Stegostoma tigrinum: one gene and its partner. The protein of the gene in region 2 interacts with the protein of the main gene of each other region in a biochemical or structural test. Links are inferred from orthologs where the notes say so. Each region holds a gene or a part of one and is shown on either strand. Other genes may lie near its edges.

Region 1 (8,263 bases), on a different chromosome or scaffold from region 2:
AAATTACACAGCAATTTAATAGCTAATGCATATAACTCCATAATTGAACATAAAGTCGTCCTCTGCTTTGTGACATGCTGAAATCTGGGTTTGTTTAAAGTACACCCGCTACAATTCCTTCCAAAATATGTGAAATCTGTTATACAAGGCTTGCACAAATGATCAAATATGCATATTGAAAAACAAAGAAAATCTGAGGATTGGTTATGAGAATATACAAAACTCAAGGAGCCCATCCAATTACATTCTCTGCTCAATACAGCATTTAGTAGGCAAATTCCATACAATGCAGGCCAAACTTATACTAAAAAGTTAGATAAATGTAATACAGTAGGCAAGGCATCACAATCCTTCTCAACTAAACACAGGCAATGTAATCTAATGCCTTGGCCGGCCGCCCCCCACCCAACGTTGCAACCATTCCCAGCACGTCACCGACATTCCTCTATCACCGAGGCATGACCAGAAGTACTTTCGTGAAGAACTAGATCAAATATATTTATATTTTTAAAAAACCATTTGGAACTGAATTACTACATTTCAACTGCTTTTCGGATCACGTCAATGGCAAAGGAGAGTCTTTTCGAGGTTGTGGCATATACTTATCACGTTGTAACTAGAACGAGGGGGAGTTGTTCTGCTCTATTTTTAGAAACAGCCGCAACACACAACTGTGGAGACTAGTTATTACTTCATTCCCCAATAATGCAGAAAGGGTTTTCATACTGCTGCCACCCAGTACCCACAAAACAAAGCATGTCCGCCAGAGAACATCTATTATCCAGAGAAATGGCTAACACTGGTGTGAGATCTTGGTCAGTAGTCAACTGGAAAACACGTTAGATTACAACATCAAAAAAATCCTTGAACACCCTAAAGAAAATTCCCGAGAACCTCGGAACATGGCCCGTCTTTCTTCCTTGCTGCCACCCCGCCAAAAAAACCTGATCTTCATTGAAAATACAACTGCTTACAACTGGCACCCGAGTGCTGCAGTGTTGCGACGGTACATTTCGGGAGAAGTAGGTTATGCTGATCTCATCCTTGCACTGTAGTCAGCGTCTGATCAACATGGGCCTAGGGGCCGGCACCCAATCTTCGAAAACATAAAATTTAACAGCCTTCCGAACGCCTGGCAGAAAATTCACCATTATATTCCTAGCATGTCTGCTGAAACTTAGAGTCCTGCCGCCTTTTTTTTGTTAAAAAAAAAGACCCAAAGGCACACTACTATTTGGACAGGTTTAAACATTTCCAAAGCGAGTTATAACAGCGGCTTACCGGGAACACTCATCAAAACCAAACTGCTGACACGATTGTTACAAGGCGACACATTGACATATATAGATCCACACAGTTAGACAGACAATCTCGGTGGAGTATCTGTGAATCCTCACGACCCAGGCACAAGTAAAGTCAGTTGTGCAGTGAAAGCTGCTAAAAGATCTCTCTGCTCACCTACATGTGTTGTTTTGGGGATTAAGGGTTAACGTCAGCTGTTGGTCTCAGTTGAAAACATCCAACCAAGACTGTGAATAACACAATTAAACGGCTAACCGTGAGTAAACTCCAAATTAACACACGTAACATTTTAAAATTAAGACCTCCTGCCACCAGACAAGTTTTGTGTAGTTTTCCACGCACAGAAAGCATCACGACAATACAAAATTATACACGACTTGGTTAACCGCTCACAATCAAAAATAATTGCTGCAATTTGCCAAACGGGAAAAAAATTCAAAGTCCGGATATAAAGGGCGAGGATTTTAATTCAACAACCTTGGGACAATTTTTATCTTAACGGATATTATTGCAACGCATTTGATTTCATTCTCAATAGCAGCAACTGGTCGAGGTCAGATAAAAATGATAACAAGGTGTGGAACTGGAGGAACACAGCAGCCATGCAGCTTCAGAGGAGCAGGAAACGTCTGGACCCGAAACGTCAGCTTTCCCGCACCTCTGATGCTGCTTGGCCTGTTGTGTTCCTCCAGCTCCACACCTTTTTATCTCAGACTCCAGCATCGGCAATTCTTACTATCTCGGAGGTCAGATAAAAGACCGGTATGGAAGGTCTGGAGGGATATGGGTCAAATGCTGGCAAACGGGGTTAGGTCCGTTTGGAAGCTCTGTTCGGTATAAACGAGTTGGACCGAAAGGTCTGTTTCCGTGCTGTACAACTCTATGACTCTACACACCTAATCAACAATGCAGACAGTGTGCTCCAGTCATGGTTGTACACAGTTCTGTGCTCTAGGACTCTGCATAATACATGCAGGTGCAAAATATCTGGATTACGACTAATAAGTAAATCCTTCATAAGCACCCATTTTCTGAATTCATTAGAAAAACAGACGGTACTGCTTTAAATCTAAAAGTCTGAGTCTCAGAAGCTTCATCTTTCCCCCATCTGCAGCCCCTGCACGGGGGTGGAGGGTGTCTGACAGTTTTCCACCCTCTGTTCTCACTTGCCCCAGTTTGCATGTGCATCAGACTTCTCCTCGTTTGTTTATATTTCTTTCCAAAGGCGGGATGTTCGTCCCCACCCCACCAAAAAAAAGAGCACAAGGGATGCAGTTTTACCTCCAGCATCCGAATCTCCTGTTGTGTCAAGTCGTTGGAAGCGGAACATTTGGTCCTGAGCCCCTCCAGGCTGGAGATGCTGATGTCGATCATGTCCTGGTTCAGGTCGCACTGCTGTAGGGCCTTCTCCAAACTCAGCTCCCCTTCGTCCTCCTCCTCGTCCTCCTCCTCTTCCTCACTCCCCTCTTCCTCAGCAACCGTAGCTTTCTTTATCTTATTGCTGTGACCCTTGCTGTTCTCTTCAGCCATTCCTAAACATTCGGCCTGGTTATATTTGTCTTCCCCCCTTTCCCCCCTTCCCGAACCCTAATTTCAGTACAACCGCCACCACACAAAAAAAAGTTTTCCTCACACAGAAAACATGAAAACTGCAGAAAATATAGATCTATTGAAATGATTAAGCTGAACTAAACACGTGCAAAAGTAAAAATGCAGCTGTCAAGTTAGTAAGTGTCCCTCTCCTGTGTGACAGCAGCCCATCTGAAGCTCCAGACGCCGCTTAATACTATGGATCAGCTTCGTTTATTTTCTTCTCCTCTTCCCCTTCGGCGGTGTGGGGGGAGGGGGCCGTGAGCGGTTGCTATGGGACTACGCGCTCTGCCTTCTGGGATTTGTTGTCAATTTCCACGGCAGAGCCCACAAGACAGGGAGGAAACCGACTACAATTCCCGGGGTGCAGCACCTCTCGCTCTGCCTTCTGGGATTTGTAGTCACGCCCCGAGGCTGAAGAAATCCAACTACAATTCCCGCCAGGCGCCATGCCTCCCTCATCCTCCCCACAAACCCCATAACAGACTCTCCTTAAAGCTCAATAAACGGCATAAACATGCTGCATACAGCTTTTCTAATCCAAGTTAACTGATCGCGACTCGTTCCCGTACTCGCAGATTTCCTTGCTATCACTGGTGTCCCCTTGCTTTCCTGAATCCCAAGACTTGTTGATCTAGTTGGACACCCTTTTCAAAAATGTTCTTGACATTCATAGTGTGGCAATTGCTAAACAATGCTGCGGTACCCGTAAATAATCACAAGTCTAACAGAAGTTCTCCCTGTATTTGAAAAGTAAACCACAAACCTTCACGAACAAGATTTTCGTCTGTCAGACATATGATCACAAGTCTCCACAGCACCTGTCAACCACTCAAAATCTCAAAGTGAAATATCCTGCAAGAATAAAACATAATAGATTACTTATTACTTATGCTGCAACACCTGAATAATTTCAGTGGCCAATTCCAATTATTATACGAGCATAGCGCTGACCTTAGATGTTCAAAATGTTAACAATTCAATTATGATGCATGACTTTCAGGATTGTGATATTCCTGGAAATATATCAGGCTCTTTATTGACATATCAATTCACAACACAAAAGTGCCAAATTGGCAAGTCAACCAGTCCATGTTAATGTTCATTTTCCATGTGAACAATCGTTCTATTTCCATGTTTTATATTCTTTTTCCTTCAATCTGCTATCTAACCTGGTTTTAAATGTTGACAAGGGTCTGAATTTCCCTATCCCAAATCAGGACAGAACAAAGGCAAGATGATAAAAAGATGGTGTTGGCAGCCTCCGTGTTTATCTACCAACTCCACTACCCAATTCTGGTGCCTTTCCTGAGGACAGTGGCTGGGGACATTGGGAAAGAGAGAAGGTGATGGAAAGGAAAATGAATAAAGAACAAAGAACAGTACAGCACAAGAACAAGCCCTTCACCCACCAAGACTGCACCAACACTTAATGCCTTTCTAAATTAAAAACCTTTTGCCTCAATGCAGTCCACATTCCTCTATTCCTTGCCTATTCATATATGTGGCAAGATGCTTCTTAAATGTTGCTATTGTATCTGCCTCCACCACCTCCTCTGGCAGAGCATTCCAGGCACTTATCACCCTCTGTGTAAAAAAACATGCTTCCCACATCTTCTTTAAATTTTACCTTCTTTTACCTTAAGTCAAGACCTGTGGTAATTGACATTTCTAGTCTGGGAAAAAAAAATCCGACTACACATTCTATCTATGCCTCTTGGAATTTTGTAAGCTTCCATCAGGTCACCCCACATCCTTTGATGTTCAAGTAAAATCAAACCAAGTTTGTCCAATCTCTCCTCATAGCTAATACCCTCCAAATAATGCAACATCCTGGTAAACTGTCTCTGTTGCCCCTCCAAGCCTTCACATCTTCCATATCGTGTGGCAATAAGAATAGTGTGAAAATTCCAAAGATGGCCTAAACAAGTTCTATACAGCTGCAACAATTTTCATACTCTATGCCCTGACTGATGAAGGAAAGCATGCCATACACCTTCTTACCATGTTGCCCGCTTGTTTTGCCACTTTCAGGGAACTGTGAACCCGTATAGCTAGATCCCACTGTATGTTGATGCTACTAAGGGCTCTGCCGTTTACTGTATACCTCCATCCTGCTTTAGATCTTCCAAAACGTATCACCTTCCATTCCTCAAGATTAAACTTGACCTGCCATTTCTGCACCCACGTCTCCTGCCTATCTATATCCTGATATGATCTCTGGCAATCCTCCTCACTATCCAATGCTCCCCCAATCTTTGTGTCACCCATAAACTTACTAATCAAGCCACCTACATTCTTCTACAAATCATTTACATATGTTACAAACAACAGGGGTCCCAGCACTGATCCTTGCAGAACATCACTAGTCACAGATCTCCAGTCAGAAGCCTTCCACACTACTCTCTGTCTTCTAAGGCTAAGCCAGTTCTGTATTAATCTTACCAACTCACTAGGATCCCATAAAACTTCACCTCTTCTACCTGTCTGCTATTAGAGAGCTCGTCAAAGAGCTTGCTAAGTCCACATGGACAACATGAATCATCCTGCCCTCACCAATCATTGAATAAGGCCAATTTTTTTCAAATCTGAGTAAATGCTTCTTAAATATAAGAACAAAGTTGGCTATTCTCCAGTCCTCTGGGACCTCTCCTGTGACTAAAGAGGATACAAAGATTTCAAGACCTCAGCAATTTCCTCATTTGTCTCCCTCAGCATCCTTAGGTAGATCCCTTCCGGTTCTGGGGACTTGTCTACCTTAACGCTTTTTGAAAGACCCAACACCTCTTGCTTATTTATATAAACTTGTCCTAGTTTATCAACATATCTCTCCAAAGACTCACCACTCACCATATCCTTGTACTTTGTGAATACATTGCAAAATATTCTTGAAGGAACTCACCCTCTTCCTCTGGCTCCTTGCTTAAATTCTCTCCTTTGTCCTTGAGTGGACCTTCCCTTTCCCTAGCTAACCTCCTAACTTTTATATATGTACTTCAAAAACCACAACATCCCCCCCGCAGTGATCGAGAACGCCCTCGACTTTGTCTCCCGCATTTCCCGCAACTCATCCCTCACACCCCATCCCCACAATAACCGCCAAAGGAGAATCTCCCTCATCCTCACATACCACCCCACCAACCTCTGGATACAACGCATCATCCTCCGACACTTCCACCATCTACAATCCAACCCCACCACCAAAAACATTTTTCCATCCCCACCCTTGTCTGCTTTCCGGAGGGATCACTCTCTCCAAGACTCCCTTGTCTGCTCCACACTCCCCTCCAACCCCAACACACCTGTCATTTTCCCCTGCAACCACAGGAAGTGCTACACCTGCCCCCACACCACCTCCCTCACCCCCATCCCAGGCCCCAAGAAGACTTTCCACATCAAGCAGATGTTCAACTGCACATCTGCCAATGTGGGTCACTGCATCCGCGGTACCCGTTGTGGCTACATCTACATTGGGGAAACCAAGCGGAGGCTTGGGGTCCACTTTGCAGAACACCTACGCTAGGTTTGCAATAAACAACTGCACCTCCCAGTCGTGAACCATTTCAATTCCCCCTCCCATTCCTTGGATGACATATCCATCCTGGGCCTCCTGCACTGCCACAACGATGCCACCTGTAGGTTGCAGGAACAGCAGCTCATATTCCTCTTGGGAACCCTGCAACCCAATGGTATCAATGTGGATTTCACAAGCTTCAAAATCTCCCCTTCCCCCACTGCATCCCAAAACCAGCCCAGCTCATCGCTGCCTCCCTAACCTGTTCTTCCTCTCACCTATTCCCTCCTCCCACCTCAAGCTGCACCTCTATTTCCTTCATTCTCTCCTCATCCCGCCCCCTTGACCTGTCTGTCCTCCCCAGATTGACCTATCCCCTCCCTACCTCCCCACCCACACTCACCTTTACTGGCTCTATCCCTGCCCCTTTGGCTTGTCTGTCTCCTCTCCACCTATCTTCTCCTCTAACCATCTTCGATCCGCCTCCCCCTCTCTGTCTATTTATTTCAGAACCCTCTCCCCATCCCCCTTTTCTGATGAAGGGTCTAGGTCCGAAACATCAGCTTTTGTGCTCCTAAGATGCTAATTGGCCGGCTGTGTTCATCCAGCTCCACACTTTGTTATCTTGGATTCTCCAGCATCTGCAGTTCCCATTATCTCTTTGATTTTCCTTAATCATGTTTGCCAAAGTCATATCATGGCCCCTTTTAGCCGTCCTTATTTAAGCTATTTCCTGCTGTCTTTGTATTTTTGGAGAGGTCTGTCTGCCTTCAGTTTCCGAAACATTACATATGTCTCCTTTGTCACTAAGCTCTCAATTTCTCTTGTCATCCAAGGTTCCCAAATCTTGCAATTCGCTTTCACAGGAACATGCTGTTCCTGACCTCTAATCAATTGGCCTTTAAAAGATTCCCAAATGCCAGATGTTTTTTACCCTCAAACAGTTGCCCCCAGTCTACATTTCCCAGTTCCTCCCTAATGTCGTGGTAGGTAGCTATCCCCCAGCTTAGTATATTCACCAAAGAATACCCTTGTCCTTATCCTTAAATAACTTAAAATTAACAGAATTATGGTTACTGTTCCCAAAATGCCCCACCTCCACCCCATTGAAACTTTAATAACCTGCCTAGGCTTATTCCCCAATACCTAGTCCAGTATGGCCCCTCCCCAGTTGGACTTTTACATATAGTTTCAAAAAAGTATCTTGGACACACCTAACAAATTCTCCCCCATCCAAGCTCCTGCTTTTCAGCAAGACCCAGTCAGTATAGGAGAACTTAAAATCATCCAACACAACAATCCTATTGTTTTCATAGTATTCCATAATCTGTCACATATCTGTTCCTCTAACACCCGCTGGCTGTTGGGAGGCCTGTAGTACAATCCCATTGAAATTATTGTACACTTCCTATTCCTGAGCTCTATCCATATCGCTGGATGTGCCCTCCAAGGTGCTGTCCCTCAGTACAGCTGTGATATTCTCCTTAATTAGAATCCTTACCTCGTTTACATCTCTCAATCTTGCCTAGAACATCTAAATCCCAGAACATTAAGCTGCTAGTCTTATCCATCCCTCAACCATGTTATTGTAATAGTCATAACATCATAGTTATATGTATTAATCCAAGCTCTAAGTTCATCTGCCTTATCTGTCATACTCATTGCATTAAAACGAATACACCTCAGACCACCAGCCCCACGGTATTCAGAAACCTCTCAATATCTGTTCTTCCTCTTAGCCTTACCAGCCTTCGTCTCAGACTCCTCCTCAGTCATTTTATTTGCTGACCTATTGGTCTGGTTTCCATCCCCTTGCCAAACTAGTTTACACCCTCCTGAGTGGCACGAGCAAACCTC
Region 2 (7,792 bases):
GTTTGTTGCCCATGCCACGTGCTAGTGAGGCGAGGAATAAGGAGAGAGAGGAGTTGAACATGTGGCTACAGGGATGGTGCAGGAGGAAGGGTTTTGGATCCTTGGATAATTGGGGCTCTTTCTGGGGTAGGTGGGACCTCTACAAGCAAGATGGTCTTCACCTGAACCAGAGGGGTACCGATATCCTGGGGGGGAAATTTGCTAAGGCTATTCAGGTGGGTTTAAACTAATTCAGCAGGGGGATGGGAACCAAGATTGTAGTTTAAGTATAGAAAAGGTTGAGAGTAGGGTGGTCCGAAATAAAGTTTCAGGGAAGCAAGATGGCACCAGCAGGCAAGAAGTTAGTTTGAAGTGTGTCTACTTCAATGCCAGGAGCGTCCGGAATAAGGTGGGTGATCTTGCAGCATGGCTTGGTATCTGGGACTTCGATGTTGTGGCCATTTCGGAGACATGGATAGAGCAGGGACAGGAATGGTTGTTGCAGGTTCCGGGATTTAGATGTTTCAGTAAGAACAGAGAAGATGGTAAAAGGGGTGGAGGTGTGGCATTGTTGGTCAAGGACAGTATTACAGTTGCAGAAAGGATGTTTGGGGACTCGTCAACTGAGGTAGTATGGGCTGAGGTTAGAAACAGGAAAGGAGAGGTCACCCTGTTGGGAGTTTTCTAATGGCCTCCGAATAGTTCCAGCGATGTAGAGGAAAGGATAGCAAAGATGATTCTGGATAGGAGTGAGAGAGACAGGGTAGTTGTCATGGGGGACTTCAACTTTCCAAATATTGACTGGGAACACTATAGTTCGAGTACTACAGATGGGTCAGTTTTTGTCCAGTGTGTGCAGGAGGGCTTCCTGACATAGTATGTAGATAGGCCAACAAGGGGCAAAGCCACGTTAGATTTGATACTGGGTAATGAGCCTGGCCAGGTGTTAGATTTGGAAGTAGATGAGCACTTTGGTGATAGCGATCACAATTCTGTTATGTTTACTTTAGTGATGAAAAGGGATAGGTGTATACCAATGGGCAAGAGTTATAGCTGGGGGAAAGGCAATTACGATGAGATTAGGCAAGATTTAGGGAGCATAGGATGGGGAAGGAAACTGCAGGGGATGGGCACATTAGAAATGTGGAGCTTATTCAAGGAAAAGCTCCTGTGTGTCCTAGATAAGTATGTACCTGTCAGGCAGGGAGGAAGCTGTAGAGCGCGGGAGCCGTGGTTTACGAAAGAGTTGGAATCTCTGGTCAAGAGGAAGAAGGCGGCTTATGTTAGGATGAGATGTGAAGGCTCAGTTAGGGTGCTTGAGGGCTACGAGGTAGCCAGGAAAGACCTAAAGAGAGAGTTCAGAAGAGCCAGGAGGAGACATGAGAAGTTGTTGGCTGATAGGATTAGGGTAAACCCTAAGGCTTTCTATAGGTATTTAAGGAATAAAAGAATGACTAAAGTAAGATTAGGCCCAATCAAGGATAGTAGTGGTAAGTTGTGTGTGGAGTCAGAGGAGATAGGGGAAGCGCTAAATGAATATTTTTCAACAGTATTCACTCTAGAAAACGACAATGTTGTCGAGGAGAATACTGAGATACAGGCTACTAGACTAGGTGGGATTGAGGTTCACAAGGAAGAGGTATTAGAAATCCTTCAGAGGGTGAAGATAGATAAGTCCCCTGGGCCAGATGTGATTTATCCTAGGATCCTCTGGGAGGCCAGGGAGGAGATTGCTGAGCCTTTGGCATTGATCTTTAACTCGTCATTGTCTACAGGAATAGTGCCAGACGACTGGAGGATAGCAAATGTGGTTCCCCTGTTCAAGAAGGGGAGTAGAGACAACCCTGGTAATTATAGACCAGTGAGCCTTACCTCAGTTGTTGGTAAAGTGTTGGAAAAGGTTATAAGGGATAGGATTTATAATCATCTAGAAAAGAATAAATTGATTAGGGATAGTCAGCACAGTTTTGTGAAGGGAAGGTCGTGCCTCACAAACCTGATTGAGTTCTTTGAGAAGTGACCAAACAGGTAGATGAGAGTAAACCGGTTGATGTGGTGTATATGGATTTCAGCAAGGCGTTCGATAAGGTTCCCCACAATAGGCTATTGTACAAAATGCGGAGGAATAGAATTGTGGGAGATATAGCAGTTTGGATCGGAAATTGGCTTGCTGAAAGAAGACAGAGGGTGGTAGTTGATGGGAGATGTTCATCCTGGAGACCAGTTGCTAGTGGTGTACCGCAAGGGTCGGTGTTGGGTCCACTGCTGTTTGTCATTTTTATAAATGACCTAGATGAGGGCGTAGAAGGATGGGTTAGTAAATTTGCAGACGATACTAAGGTCGGTGGAGTTGTGGATAGTGATGAAGGATGCTGTAGCTTGCAGAGAGACATAGATAAGCTGCAGAGCTGGGCTGAGAGGTGGCAAATGGAGTTTAATGCAGACAAGTGTGAGGTGATGCACTTTGGGAGGAGTAATCGGAAGGCAAAGTACTGGGCTAATGGTAAGATTCTTAGTAGTGTAGATGAGCAAAGAGATCTCGGTGTCCATGTACACAGATCCTTGAAAGTTGCCACCCAGGTTGACAGGGCTGTTAAGAAGGCATACAGTGTTTTAGCTTTTATTAATAGAGGGATCGAGTTCCGGAACCAAGAGGTTATGGTGAAGCTGTACAAAACTCTGGTGCGGCCGCACTTGGAGTATTGTGTACAGTTCTGGTCACCGCATTATAAGAAGGATGTGGAAGCTTTGGAAAGGGTGCAGAGGAGATTTACCAGGATGTTGCCTGGTATGGAGGGAAGGTCTTATGAGGAAAGGCTGAGGGAGTTGAGGCTGTTTTCGTTAGAGAGAAGGTTGAGGGGTGACTTAATTGAAACATAAAATAATCAGAGGGTTAGATAGGGTGGATAGGGAGAGCCTTTTTCCTAGGATGGTGACGGCGAGCACGAGGGGGTATAGCTTTAAATTGAGGGGTGAAAGATATAGGACAGATGTCAGAGGTGGTTTCTTTACTCAGAGAGTAGTTAGGGAATGGAACGCTTTGCCTGCAACGGTAGTAGATTCGCCAACTTTAGGTACATTTAAGTCGTCGTTGGATAAGCATATGGACGTACATGGAATAGTGCAGGTTAGATGGGCTTGAGATCGGTATGACAGGTCGGCACAACATCGAGGGCCGAAGGGCCTGTACTGTGCTGTAATGTTCTATGTTCTATATGACCCAGCAATGACGAAAGAATAGTCATACCAAGACAAATCAGGAAACTAAATCTAAGCACAGTGAACGACATAGCCAAAATAATGGAGTGAAATCTGAAAAAGACAAGCTCAAAATATAAGAGATAACAAGGTGTAGAGCTCGATGAACACAGCAGGCCAAGCAGCATCAGAGGAGCAGGAAGACTGATGTTTCGGGCCTAGACCCTTTTTCGAGCTCAAAATATACATTGTTCTGATCAGAGTACACCATGAATAATTTCTGGCCACCCTGTCAACAAGGCAGACATGCAGATACTGCTGCTTTTGTCATCTCAGATCCAGTCTGCTGCTCCCTTAACATCTTTGCATTCTCTACTGTCTAGAAACTTGCGCACATCCAAAGCATTCCTGTCATTTTCCTATCCTATTCCATGTATCATTCACCCAGCACCCCTATCCTTGACAGCTACAATACCGCTCAACACCTTAAATATAAATTTGTTATTCTCATACTTAAATCTCTTTGTGGCCTCAACTTGCATCATCTTCATAGCCCTATAACCTCCCCCTAAACACACACTTGACTCTGATCCCTTTCCTTCCTTCACTACTGATAGTCAATTTCCAAGTTTTATTTTATTCTCCACGAACTCTGTTCCTGTTCTTTGAAAAAGATGTGGATAATTCCTTCTAAAATCCCTTTCCTCATCTCTCTGTCCACTTCTTGCTGATTCAGTTTTTGTGAAGCACTTCGATCAAGACTTTAATAAACGTTATCATTGTGGAATGTAATACAAGAACCATGCGACAGAGGAATCAGGCATGCACAGCAACTAGAGAAATATGAACTGTTAGAAAGGCATCATTTCAGAGGTGACCTAGATATTCGAACGAAACTTTAAACCAAAAATAGTGACAATGAGCTGATCTGGTCCGATTCCGGGAGTTTGATTTTGCTTTAAATAAGTTGCCTGTTCGCGAACGTTCTACTCAGAATGCAACAGAACTGGTGAATGGATTTACAATCCGTCGCGTTTCAATTTATAAATAAAGCACACATCATGATTAAACTAAGAGGCGGAGCGAAGAACACGCCTATTAAAGATGATCCCTGTGGTGGGGCAATAGGAGAGGAAAGGTAACCAGGTTTGAAAGAGTTTCACGAACAGCCGCATTCCTATATAATTAGGCTCCTCAATGAACAGTTTATTTCAGCGAATCAATGAGTCGACCTAATCTAATAATAAGTTGTTAAGAGTGTGGCCTTGGGCTCAGGCCAAAGGAAGGATGTTTCCGTCTCAATTACTGAATGGAAGGGATTCTTTGAGCCAGGGCGTCGAACTTGTCTAACAGTATGAGCCTTCCCTGACGCACTGCGGCCCCGGCCTTTCCCTCAGACTCCAGGCCAAGGCCCGCCCTCCACCCTCCTGTCCAGCCTCCTCCCTCTTTTAGCCGGCCCCGGACCTGGCCCTCACCTGTCCTCCCTCCTCACAGTCCGCCTCCAGCCGCCCCTTTCCGCTCCCGGCAGCCGGTGGGCAGGAGGCGGCGGCTGACGCGTTTCCTGCCGCAGCCCTGGGCTTGGCGAGCCGTCGGAGCCGGGGCGGCCATTTTCAGCCGGACACCCCCCTTCTCCTCCTCCTCTCCACCCACTCCCCTCCCCAAATCTTCCCTTACCCCACCCTCCCTTCTTCACCTACCTACCTCCAACCCGGCGGCCTCTGACCTCCTGCACTCCCCTCCCCTCCGTGTGCTCTCCATGTTAGAGGCTGAGGAGCGGCGTCTGAAACGTCCTGTCTCTCCCGTCTGGAGCCGGGAAGCTGTGCGGCGGCGCCGGCGGCGCTATCTGCTGTGGCAGCTGAAGCCGGGCCTTGTTATTTGAGGCTGAAGGAAGCGAGTGGTGGGACTGCAGCAGCAGCTGCTCGCTTCTTCTTATTATTCTCCTCCTCTTCCTCTGGGGCTGGGGTGAAACCTGGCAGTCGAGTGTTTAACAGCTCCGCAATCGACAGCGCTTGGAAACCACTGGGTTTGAGTGTCTAGATTTTTGTTTTGGGGCGGGAGGTGAGGAGGGAAAAAGATGTGGACGCACCGAAAGGATATTCAGCTTTACTAGGCGTGTGTTTGGTAAACGGCTGCTGGATGTCACCGGGTACAGTCGGTCGGGCCGACTTCAGCTGAAGCCCAACGCCTCTGAACATTTCGCTCTCATGTCCTGTTGAACCGAGTCTTCTGCAATTATTTGGGCAACGGTGCTAAATTGAAACCAGGAGGGGCAATTGTTAAAAAAGAAACAAAATGTCTACTCGAACGCCATTACCTACGGTGAATGAACGTGAAACAGAGCATGTAAGTCATCTTTATTGGGTTACAAGACACCCCGGAAAAGGGAGCACGGGCTTATTGTACACCCACCGTATTTGTTTGAAGGACTAAGTGTCCAACTTGGATCATGGTTTGGAAACGAATTGCTAGTGAACTGGAATAAATGTTGAGTTGGGTTCTTTTGTAAAGCTTCTCTGCAAATTTTGGGTGTTTACTGTTAAGTAGTTAGCATGTCCTGATGCTTGGCTTTTTATATTTAGTCTTGCTGTGCGCCTATACTGCTTCCTTTTTTCATCTCAGTCCGTGTCAACACGGCGTGAGGAAGCCGACAGATGTCGGGACACATCACGGAGGTGTTGGATTTGACCGAATTGGTTTTCAAGTGAGCCGCTAGGTCATGTTTTTGGAATTGACCGTCCGAAAAACAAGTATATTTAAAAATTGGTCCCATCGTTATCTTGTTAAGAATGTATTGTATTTGAGGGCCGTTCAAAGGTTGAGCTAAGCGTTTAAAGCCCCACAGTTACTAGCTTTAATCTTTTAAGACGTTTAGCATGCCTCTTGCAAGATCAGAAGGTGTCATGAATTGTACGCTTTGTGTATCGCCTTAGAGAATTAAAAATGATCGCATCATTACGCAGCTGGAATATTTTAAACAAATTCTGCTAATGATTGAAAATATACTTAGGATTATGGGGTGCATTAAATATGTTGGTTCTGAAGATAGCATAAAACCTGTATAACAGTTATTAAAATGTTGTATTATCACCATGAGCTGAATTTGCTATAATATGTTTGTAATTCCTTTTCAATTGTGAACATGTCCAGGAAAGCTGATTTATAGATATTGTCCTTTTAAATGTATCTGCAGGGCACTGAGGTGTGTAATAGAAGAAATTCTGATGTCTGTAATCTCATTCCAAAAATCCAAAGTGCTCTGAGCAACGAAGCTCACTTGTGAGCATTTTTGAAATATACCCACTTAGTTTTGTGACAGCCAGTTTGCGTGCAGCAAGGGGACCTGGTGAGTTTGTTGTGGAACTAATCTTGTCCAGGACCTTTGGAGGTTCTGAAGAGTGGGGTCAGTCGCTGAACCTCTGAGGTAAGATGCAGTTGAGTGAGGTTATATTCCATCTCTAGTAGTGGCAGCAATAATTAGAGTTGATGCACTTGCTGATGTTAGTCTTATGTCTTTTAAAGACAATTACTTTAGCTTCATTTGTAATGGGAGAGAAATTGGGATTTTGCAAGAAGTTTGTCTTGTTCTGGACAAACTCTAATGTTACATGTATGGGATATCATCACTTTCCAATATACTCTCCTTTTTTAAATATAAACTACTTGGGATGTGCTTTTTTCACAAGAACCAACCAACAGAGGTAAAAGATATTAATCTGTTTTAGTAATGGTGGCTGAGTTGCAAATCTTAGCCAGGAGATGGGAAGTTCTCCCCCTTAAACTGCTGTAAACTTACTCAGTTGCACCCAAAATAATTTGTCAGGTCTTAAAATTAATTTGGATAGTAGTTTTTAACTGTACCAGTACATTCAGTTATGTGACTCTTCTCTCTTTTGAGACAAAAGAATGTCTTGGGTTACCCAGAAACTAGCTGATTCTTGAAGTGCTGTTGAGCATGAGGCTGTGCTCACCATCACCTGGAAAATGTAGATGTGCACTCTCTCTTGATTTGTAGATTTGGCCAGTTTATGGGACAGATAGGACAAAATGGTAATGTCAATAGACTAATCCAGAGGAAAAACCAAGAACTGCAGACGGTGTAAATCAGGAACGCAAACAGAAGTTGCTGGAAAAGCTTAAGTGTGGCAGCACCTGTGGAGGAAAAAAGCTAATGTTTCGGGTCCAAGGAATGGTCACTGGAACTGAAACGTTAACTTCTTTCCTTCACAGGTGCTGCAGATCTGCTGAGCTTTTCCAGCAACTTCTGTTTTTATGTAATAATCCAGAGGCCCCAGCTAATGACTCGTGATGCTGGTGGAATTTAGAATTTATTAGCATTTGAAGTTGAAAGTTGTCTGTTTCAGTCATTATTACTATCATTGCACAAATCCCTTTAGTTTACTATAATAAAATGTGAGGCTGGATGAACACAGCAGGCCCAGCAGCATCTCAGGAGCACAAAAGCTGATGTTTTGGGCCTAGACCCTTCATCAGAGGGGGATGGGGGGAGGGTTCTGGAATAAACAGGGAGAGAGGGGGAGGCGGACCGAAGGTGGCGAGGGGATAGGTCAGTCCAGGGAAGACAGACAGGTCAAGGAGGTGGGATGAGGTTAGTAGG

Evidence for each region.
Region 1: of the proteins of mark3a (region 2) and kinase suppressor of Ras 1-like, one has a biochemical effect on the other in vitro, tested with the Homo sapiens proteins (2 studies listed by BioGRID). The link is inferred for Stegostoma tigrinum from reciprocal best matches to the Homo sapiens genes MARK3 and KSR1.

Annotation. Positions count from the first base shown.
Region 1 is NC_081380.1:37,782,794-37,791,056, forward strand, and holds the start of kinase suppressor of Ras 1-like, read right to left. Parts: upstream 3,115-8,263; 5' UTR 2,833-3,114; coding exon 2,584-2,832; intron 1,579-2,583; exon of another isoform or gene 1,282-1,578; intron 1-1,281.
Region 2 is NC_081363.1:40,014,201-40,021,992, forward strand, and holds the start of mark3a (MAP/microtubule affinity-regulating kinase 3a), read left to right. Parts: upstream 1-4,715; 5' UTR 4,716-5,469; coding exon 5,470-5,520; intron 5,521-7,792. UniProt on the Homo sapiens protein: Serine/threonine-protein kinase. Involved in the specific phosphorylation of microtubule-associated proteins for MAP2 and MAP4. Phosphorylates the microtubule-associated protein MAPT/TAU. Phosphorylates CDC25C on 'Ser-216'.